Linked DNA regions of Drosophila melanogaster. The protein of the gene in region 2 interacts with the protein of the main gene of each other region in a pairwise test. Each region holds a gene or a part of one and is shown on either strand. Other genes may lie near its edges.

Region 1 (4,789 bases), on a different chromosome or scaffold from region 2:
TTCAAAAAGTTGTCCCTAAAAGTTACAATTAAGCTTTTTCTCAAACATGTTCAAAATATCTATCTGTATCTATTAACTACATATAATTGCATTCGGTAAGTAAGTAGGTTAAGTTCCCTACACAAACATTTGTTACTTTTACCAAAATAATTCTATCCAGTTTCGCAGTTTTTTTTTCTGTGCATGCTTCTCAAGGTCAGAACTTCGCTCCTCTAGCTCTGTATATATCATTCTATCTCCCTATGGGAATATGCCGAAAATAGAACTCACTAGCCCGGAATTCACAGACTGCAGTCTGCACTCCTAGGCCAAAAAGAAAAACAAATAAAGAAATGAAAACTGCACTGTATTTTTGGGCTATAAATAAACGGAGCAGACGGGAGAAGCAGATGCAATCGAAACTTTTTGAAATTTTAGCTGCACTCCCAAAGGAATACTATAGAAACTACAAAGTATTGTGACGTTCCAATTTCAGCGGTGATAACTTACGTTTCCAAGTGTTGTTTTCTTCTTATTGTCTACTTGGGTATCCGAGGCGCCCTTGAAAGGGGCCTGTTCCTTTGGCTGTTAACTCTGCTGGCTGAAATTAAAAAGAAAATATATTAAATTTAGAGCCAAAGGCAATTGTGAGTGAATTGTGGGGAGTGAGGGTCGAGTAGCCATTTACCTGGCCATTAACACGCTGCGCATAAGCCGCATCATGCCAACTTAATTATACGGCCTCAAAGGCTGCGGCACGCAAAACAATGATGAAGGCGGGTGGTGAAAGTTGGAATTCATTGGATGGCATGGGATTGGATGGGATTGGATAGTATTGAATGGGATTCGATTGGGCGCGGTTGACAGTCGAAGATAATGAAGTTCGGAATGCGCTTAAGGTTCGCTTATTGTGCACTGCGACAGATAAGCTCCTCGGTGGGCCACACACTCTTGACCAGGTTAATGAATAATCAGCTGGGGTCGAGCATATGGCTGCGAAGGTAGATCTTTTTAATTAACTTGCCGTGGCCGAGTTCCTTTCGACCAAAGGAAACAATTAAACAATGGAAAACCAATTTCCGAAACTATAATAACATGATTACATCGGCGGTCTTTTGAGCATCGAACGCGTAAAGGGAATTTAATAGAAATTAATTGTTCACACAATTGCATTGATATCCCTTATAATTAATTTTCTTTAATGAGCACAATTCGGAGCTTCATTGCGTTACTAAAATGATACAGTAAAATGTGGCATGAAAAATTATACATCAATTCATACATTTTATGATGATTTCGTTTTTAGTATTATTGCAGATTGGTTTTATTTGCAATCACTAAGCTTTTGAATATAGCAATATTTAAACATAATACAGATTTCAGCAACCAACAAGTTGACTTAAAACAAGTGACTTAAAAACTTCAATAGCTCGGAAACATTTGGAATATTTTTCCATATTAGATTTTGGTAATATAAATGCTATTTGTCTGTTGAAACAAAAACTTTTCAACAAAAAGGTGTACAACTTTATGTAGTTTTTAAAATACCTTTAAATGAATGGATAAAGAAAATGAGACAACACTAAGAAATCATAAGCAATACATTTACTTTAAAGTTGCCAACGCGCTACTTTCGAGCAGTTTTTAATTTAAGTTGCAAAAGTGGCCAGTAAATTCGAATCAAAACTAGTTTAGGTGGATATCTATTGCCAGCGTGCTGCAATGGCACTTCTTTAATGCTGCCAGCGACCTTGAACTTCCGCCCAGCTGAAGCACACTCGAAAAGAGCGGAGGAGGGATGGGGTTGGAGGGCAGATGAAGTGAATTGAAAAGAGGCGAGTGCTCGCAATAAAGCTAAAAGGAAAACTGGAAAAAACTGTTGCCTACTTTCCGGCGGCACATAAATTTAAACCGCACACGCCTCTCTCACTTAATCTTCCGTATTATTTTTATTTTTATATTTCGAAACGAGAAATTAATTGTTTTGTGTGAGAGGTGTGAATATAAAAATAAATACGAGAAAGCCCACCACAAACATTCCAAATGGATGGCGAGAATGGGAGAAGGAACAAGCAAAAGCAAAACCGAAACCGAAACAAAAGCAAACAAAGCAATCAATGATAAGCGAGCAGCGGGCAAAAGACAAACACAAACAACAGAAATGGAAATAGAAAATCTCTGAAAATGTCGCTGATTGAATCGAACTAAAAATAAGGCAGCAACACGGCGTATGAGCAATGTGCGTCTCTGTGTGCGTGCCTGTGTGTGTGAGTGTGGGCAAATTATTGCCATGCTTTCTGATGAGATATGCACACACACACACACACACACACACACGTAATATAGCGTATAACAGATCCTCATCAACATATATTTGTATACATGATTATGTCAAAATTTGTTAATAAATTTTGAACGCGAAGCCGAAGGAGATGAAAATAATTTTGACAGCTTTTCACGAATGTGGGAGTGTGCACACGGTGGGATGTTGAGAAAGCGCAATTTTCAGCCAGGTGACATTTTCCCAAGCTCCTTCTCTCGCCGAGATTCTCACGCCTTTCGCCGTTTTCTCTCTTCTTTTTTTTACATAATCAGCAGCCATTGAATGCGTCGAGCTCATCTCCATTTGAATGCGTTTCCAAAAACGAGCTTAAAATCAGGACGTATCCACCCCGTTCGACTCACTTGCGTTGGCTTCCTCTATTTCCTGATGCTTCGCGAAACTTTTGCAAATTTATTCGCATGCCTTGGCGGCACAAGGACTTTCACTGACTTCACTTTCAAACTGAGGTACGATGTATTACCGCCTTGGCTCAAACCAACACTCGCGTCGCGATTACTGGTGCTTTTGGACGCACCCTCACGCACTGCGCGACAGGTGAAAGATCTTTGGGTAGATCTTTGCACCCCTCTATATACACTTAATAGATATATATATATGGATATAGGTGGTTGGGAATCGAACTGGGCTATAGCTATTATCGGCGTATCGGTCCGCACGTCCACTCGCGAGCGTGCCAGAAATGAAAATGAATGTTTTTCTCTGCTCGACTCTCGAACGCTTGATGATCAGCCGTTCTTGAGGTGAAATTTTATAAATATAACCTGAGGCAACAACAAAAGTGCCACAAATATTTCTGCGTCTTCTTCCCACTTTCACGTAGCACTTTTGTTGTTTCCCAGCTTCACCCGACCCCAACGAACCTGTGCAAGAATTATATACATATATACATATAATATAATATATGTACCATAATTGTCTGTAAGAATTCCTCTCGCTTTTTACAATGTCGCGCAGAAAGTCCAAGAGCGACAATATATTGTTCAATACGTATTCTTACCTGTTATTGTTCTGGCTTATTTCGCAGTTATTAGAGTGAGATTTTCACTTTTCTTTAGTCCAGCGGAAAGAAAAGCTGAGGAAAAGATCGACGCCCACGCATTTATCTGGCAGAATGATTCATTTTCGAATTTTTTTAAATATTTATAGAAATATTGATACTTATATAGAATAAGGAAATTGATGTCTTAGCAAATATCGCGCGAGTTTTATGTAGTTATAGAATTCAGCATAATTAAAAGTGTTAACAGAAAGACAAATGATTTAGAGATAGGTAGGTTTTTTACTCTAGACATCATAATAAAATATATACGCTTAAGATTTGTCATTGAATTATTAATATTTATTTCATCTTAATTTATTAAGTTCTGTTTCTAAGCACTTGTTTACGTAATATATATTAATAATATGCCTAAGAAGATCAACATTTGTTACTATGTTGTCTTAAATCATTTAGTTCTTTAATATTACTTATTTTTCGCTTATTATTCTATAAATACCAAATTCCTCTCCGTCATCACATGCAGTATGATTGGTCTGCATTTAGCCATCCTCGCCAGACATTCGGTCTTTTGTTCGGTCATTTGCTTGTCCCACATGACATCTTGTCAATAGGCTGATGAATCGGGTTAGCCGTTAATATATTTTCGGAAAAAATAGCGAGCTAAAACAAAGCCGCAGCCGCAGTCAAAACAAAAACAAACCGAAAAAATGCGAATTATGAGCGGGCCAAAACAAAGATGTCAACACGTTCGCCAAGGCAGCTCAAGTTGTTGACGGACTCTAGGTCAGTCCCACTGACAACGCCATAGCCACAGCTATATCCTCTATTACACGCTGAGAAAAAGTTACTAAAATGGTAACCAAATGTATTTTTTGAATATATATAACATACATAATTAGGTTTCGAACAGCATCTCTTCATCAATATAATATTTTGATGTCACTAATAAAAAGTTAAAGTGTGTGCCCCTCCTATTCGATGCTGATATAACGAAAATTATTAATTAACGATGTTCCTTTGAAAGTAATTAATTTATCAAACTGCTTTCCAAGAATTAACTAAGGATTCGTATATTTTCCATGTGCATGAGAATCACCGCTGGATTTGTGCGCAGTTGCTGGTTCTCGTGAAATTGAAATTGCGTATTGCGGACATTGCATTGTGAACACTGCAACAAGGCTATCGGAACGGCGACAATTGTATAGCACGAGTTAAGACCCATTTCCATTAGCGGAGCGTCCGAAATAGTGGCATCTATTCATTCCCAGCATATTTGAGAGCAACTCATTAGGCCCGAGCCATGATTAATTAGAACTGATGGATGGCCAATTGACGAATGGAAGGCATGGCTGCGGCGATGCGAGCCAGGAGCCAGCAGCCAGGACGCATTATTGATGGACACGTATGCTGGGAATCCGGAACCTCCAGTGAAAGCCACTCGACCAGGGGACACTTGGCATTGCCAG
Region 2 (5,194 bases):
ATTCAAAATGAAAAATATAACTTTTACGATATAGCTTTTTTCAATGGTATTTACTTATCCATTGACCTTCTTGTGATAATCAAAACACTTACGTTCTCCAGGGTCAAACAGCTACATTTGTGGCGCCCTATTATCCTGCAGAGCATATTTCTCTCGAGGATGGAGTGGGCTCCACTGCATCTCATCGCCACGCGGACACAACTGAACTTCATCATTGGCCCTTGCCCGAATACCAATTCCCAAACACCGGGGCACTAAAATGAGCTTGTAGCCAAATGGGCAATTGCCACGCACTAAAATTTTGAATATGATCGGAAATTGTTGAAAAATGGATTTGTACTCAACCGAAAAGAAATCGACAGTAAAATCATAAGCAAATCGACAGAGATGGCAACTGTCACTAAACAGAACGAGAAGGAAATATAACGATTTTGGGATTGCTTATGGAGCTGACAACTGCTCCTTTTCAAATACTACTTTGATTCGAACTGTAATTCTTCCACAAATCGAATTATCTATTAAATCTATTCCGTTTATTAATATCTTATAAATCTATCAAAATTCTATAGTGCAAGTATAGGTGAAACAGACTGAGATTTTCACATTTCAAAAGTACATACTTGATTCACTTTTGTTAAGAAAACTAATTTGGATTAATTTTTCTAGATTTTTATATTTTCAACAATTTACACCTCGCTTTATCCTTATTGAACACGTTCGCAATATAATATCCAATGCAGTACCCCAGAGTTATGTGGTGCGCTACGATGTGTGGTTGGAGTGCTCCGATTAGCTAAGCTTTTTGTGGGTCTCTTCGGATCCGTTCCGTTCTACGGGGTTCTCATCGTTCAACTTTCGGCTTATGATCTAGAGATTTCGCTTGTGTCCAAGTTTCTGAGTTATTGTGTCTTCTTGTCTGTCTGTCAGTGATTTGTGTTTGCTGTTCGGTTTTCTTGTTTCGTTTAAGGTTCTTGTGAGTTCCCGAATCAGATTCGTTGGCCCGATGACTTAGTGATTGACGCCCTTGCGCTCCTGGATGTGATCAATATCGTAGGCGATGGTGCCGCGCAGCTTGGGCTCCAGATTGTTGGAGTACACGTCCGTCCAGAGGTGGCTCACGCCCAGCTCGGCATCGGACTTGGCGAAGGCGGTGGCCTCGTCGACCTCCTTGCGTACCTTCAGATCGATGGCCTGGAAGATGTTTTTTTCTTTTAGCAATCATAACTCATAACAAAAATAAAACCCTATAAGCCAAACCCACCTTAACTTCATCGGTGGTAATCAGACCCAGCTCGATGCACAGCTCCTTGAAGGAGGTGATGGGATCACGCTTCTGGCGCACCTCCTGGATCTCCTCGCGTGTGCGGTACGATGTGCCCGGATCGGACATGGAGTGTCCAGAGTATCGGTACGTGTTCGTCTCCATCACCAAAGGTCCGTGAGTGTTCACATAGTTGATGGCGAACTCGGTGGCGCTGCGCACGGCCAGCACATCCATGCCGTCCACCCAGATTCCGGGCAGAGCGTCGCCGCGGGTATAGTAATCAGTGTTGCAGGAAGCACGCTCAGAACTGGTGCCCATTCCTAATGGGTATAATTATACAACATTTGGTTTAAGTAAATATCTTTTAGCATTGTTCCACTTTCTACAGCACTCACCGTAGTTGTTGTTCTCGCAGACAAAGATCACAGGCAGTTTCCACAGGTAGGCCATGTTGTAAGCCTCGAACACCTGTCCTTGATTGGCGGCACCATCACCGTAGAGGGCCAGGCACATGCCGCCATTGCCCTTGTACTTGCAGGCCAAGCCAACGCCGGCACCCAAAGGAACTTGAGCACCCACGATGCCATTGCCTCCGTAGAAGTTCGGTGCGTACATGTGCATGGAGCCACCCTTGCCGCGGGCACAGCCACCCTGGACACCGGTGAGCTCAGCCAGTACGCCGCTGGGTGAGACGCCCATCAGGTAGGTCCATCCGTGGACACGGTACGCCGAGATGATGTTGTCCACATCCCGCATCGCCGCCTTCATGCCAACGGCGCATGCCTCCTGGCCGGAATACAGATGACAGAAGCCGCGAATGATCTTCTCCTTGTACAGATTACCGGCGGCCGTCTCCAACCGACGGATCGTCTGCATCTGTGTGTAGTACTTGAGGGCCTGATCCTTGGTCAGCTTCACTTCCGTGGCGGGTCCTTCGTCCAGGCGGTGCAGCTTGAAGGGCTGCAAAGTTGGAAAGCATATTTAGAATTTAGATCCCTAAACTTCATTAATTTTAAAAACGTTTTCTACTTTTACATTAACAACTGACACACACATCTGATAAGAACGTAACGGAAACGTTTGGAACGCATGATAAGTAATAAAATGATAGCAGTTTGATTGGATAAACCAAATAACCATAGGCTTCAAGCTTCTCTAATCAAAGTATACTAATCTATAGAGAGCTATAACCACATATCGAGGATTTTCGGAAGTATGCTCCAAAAACCAAATTTGGATTTATGGCGGCTAATTTATGGCGTGAGAATCGACGTAAACAGAGAGCCAGACAGACAGACGGAGAGAAAGAGAGAGAGGGTGAAAATCGGCGGATCGTTGATAAGACTATATGTTATATGGTGCGTGAACAGTCACGCGTCGGCCACGCAAAAGGCAGACGGTGATAAAGAGCGTGGGAGACGGAAAACTACAAATTACTGCGTGACCTTGTCATTTGAAAATGAGCGGATTGACCGGCAAAATGCAACCCTGCACTTACACACACACACACACACACGCAAACCGTTTGCTATCTGGCGAAAATCGCATTATGTAACCGTATTTTTTCCCTTCCGACTTTTGAATTTTCCTGAGTTACAAGTACTTAATGCTATAATACGCACCCGATTCACTTGAACGGTGGCCTCCGTGGCATAATTGTTGGTTTTCGAAACACCTGCTTGGGCTGCATTCTGGAATAAACCGAAAAACGACGATGAATATCTCCCATTCCTGATGATATCGATGCTGCTGTTGTTGTTGTTGTTGCTAAGTATCCGACATCCGCTGATGATGATGTTGTTGTTGTTGTTGTTATGGCAACGCTTTTAGTGTTTTCATTATCGAATGGATTTGTTCAATTGCATTTTTAGTGACAACAATTAGAAATGTTAGTGGGTGCAAAGCGGGATTGGGATTACGTACTTTTTGCAGTTGCTTAACAATAATGGGCAATTCGCTAACGCGTGACAGAGTACGCAACATTTTCGCTGTGTTATTCTCGTTCGACTGACAGAAATTGGATGTGAATGGGGGCTTTCTATATGCGGATTGTCCGGATCTAGAATCGCACGCTATATATCTGGTGTCTCAGTCGCACCGCCGCGCGTCGTTGTAAGTTAAACAATCGGAAAAAAAGGTAGCGAGATTAGTTTATCAACTACTATATTGCACAACTATAACAACCGTTTGGCGTTATAGCGAAAAATAACGCACCACTTGGCCTATTAGTGTGACCCTAAATAAAATACTGCAGCTTTCCCTGTTTTCAAAAAATACTAAATTAGCTTATCGAACTTTCTTTTTCAATATAACTTGAAATATAAATGTTTACGTAAAATATTCAATAAGCTTTTATATAATGTGTCACACAATGTTATATCAAAATAATAGTAGTGTTTGGCGGTTATTGAAATACTCGAATAAATACTTACTCAATCACATTTTATATTACTTTGCCGCCCAAATAAAACGAGGGTTTTCAAAGAAGTACTTTTATTTCACATTGAAGATCTCATTTGGTTTTTGTTTGCTTTCTCATTTCTTACTCGTATTGTTACTTGAAATTGCCTCCATAAATCCACATTTGCGATTGCAGTTGCAATTGCAATACTGCTCTATATCGCACTCAGCTCACATAATTCACTAATCTCTTACAAAAACTTAAGTAATGTTTGTTCCTTGCACAAAAAACCAGTTAAATAGAAATAGGTAAAGTAGAATTAAACAGTTAAATTCAAATAAACGCTTTACAAACTAAGATTTTAAACTAGTTTTTGTATTTGTTGGTTTCTCGGTTTGTTGTTTCATTTTTTTTTTTTTGCTTTAGAAATGGCAGCTAAAAGATTTGAGTTTAAAAGTTACTAACGGAAAATGAGGAAATGGATCGATCGTTTGGGAAAAACTAAGCGAATGAAATAAATTTTTTACTTTCTTTTATCTATCTTTTGCTCTGTTACCGTTACACATATTCAATTTTTCGCGCGTTTTTCTGTTACATCAAAAATTGGTTTCTCACACAAATATTTTGCATTATGACAAAAAATTATGCTTTGCTTTGTTTTTTGTTTTGTTTCATATGTATACATGTACATGTATATATATATATATTTGTATGTATAAACACTTATTAGAAGTCCTGTTGTGTTTTTGTTTCCTTTCCCGTTAGAAATCCGGCATTCCGATTATAAGAAAAAAATTTAGTTTTTCTCTTCGTCTTCTTGTTTTTGCGAGTGCTTGTGTGTGTGTAAGTGGGGGAGGTGTGTGTGTGTGTGGGTGAGAGAGAGAGAGGAGGTTCTATCTTACCGTTAGCATAAATAGTTTTGTGTCTACGCAAAAACGTGCTGAGCAATAATCTAAAACGCAATAGCTAAAGAGAGAGAGGTGCTGTATGTGTGTGAAAAGTAACGGTAAATGTGTGTGATTTCTGCATATGTCTTCTGTTGTTTTCAGGAAATTACGTATTAAGCTTCTTATTTTTTTTGGTTGTTTTTAGTAGGTTTTACTTAGGTTCTTGCTTAATTTACACCAATGTTTACTTTATTTTGTATTTCTTGCATGAATATATATATTTACTTTTTGGTTTCCTTGTTTCTTATTACTGTTCGCTTTCATTCCTTGAAATTTGCCTTTAAATTGTTACTGTTCTTCTGTTTTATATAACATAAATCCGATTCGGAGAAACACATAGCACACACTTATATAAACGACAAGATGATAATTATTTATTTTGTCTTTGCTTTTGCTTTCGACTTTCTCCGCCTTTTTGTTTTATTACTGCTTGCACACCACCCTCATGACCTCCCTAACCTGGTTTTGACCTAGAAAGTCTTAGTTTTAAAATTCATTAGAATAATCAAATAAATAATAATTACTATGTTATATCAACTATTATAATTCTCCCTATCTTTTTTAGGATTAAAAATCTGTTAG

Evidence for each region. Proteins that work in one complex are often made in the same cells at the same time.
Region 1: the proteins of Pdha (region 2) and tn interact in a two-hybrid assay, tested with the Drosophila melanogaster proteins (one large-scale study listed by BioGRID).

What each region holds. Positions count from the first base shown.
Region 1 is NT_033778.4:18,985,567-18,990,355, reverse strand, and holds the start of tn (thin), read right to left. Parts: upstream 3,013-4,789; 5' UTR 2,665-3,012; intron 973-2,664; exon of another isoform or gene 668-972; intron 581-667; 5' UTR 490-580; intron 1-489.
Region 2 is NC_004354.4:4,700,585-4,705,778, reverse strand, and holds Pdha (pyruvate dehydrogenase E1 alpha subunit), read right to left. Parts: upstream 3,455-5,194; 5' UTR 3,248-3,454; coding exon 3,188-3,247; exon of another isoform or gene 3,088-3,187; coding exon 2,887-3,087; intron 2,225-2,886; coding exon 1,660-2,224; intron 1,585-1,659; coding exon 1,262-1,584; intron 1,192-1,261; coding exon 1,009-1,191; 3' UTR 514-1,008; downstream 1-513. Other genes in the region: CG7024 (uncharacterized protein), read right to left, coding at 93-215.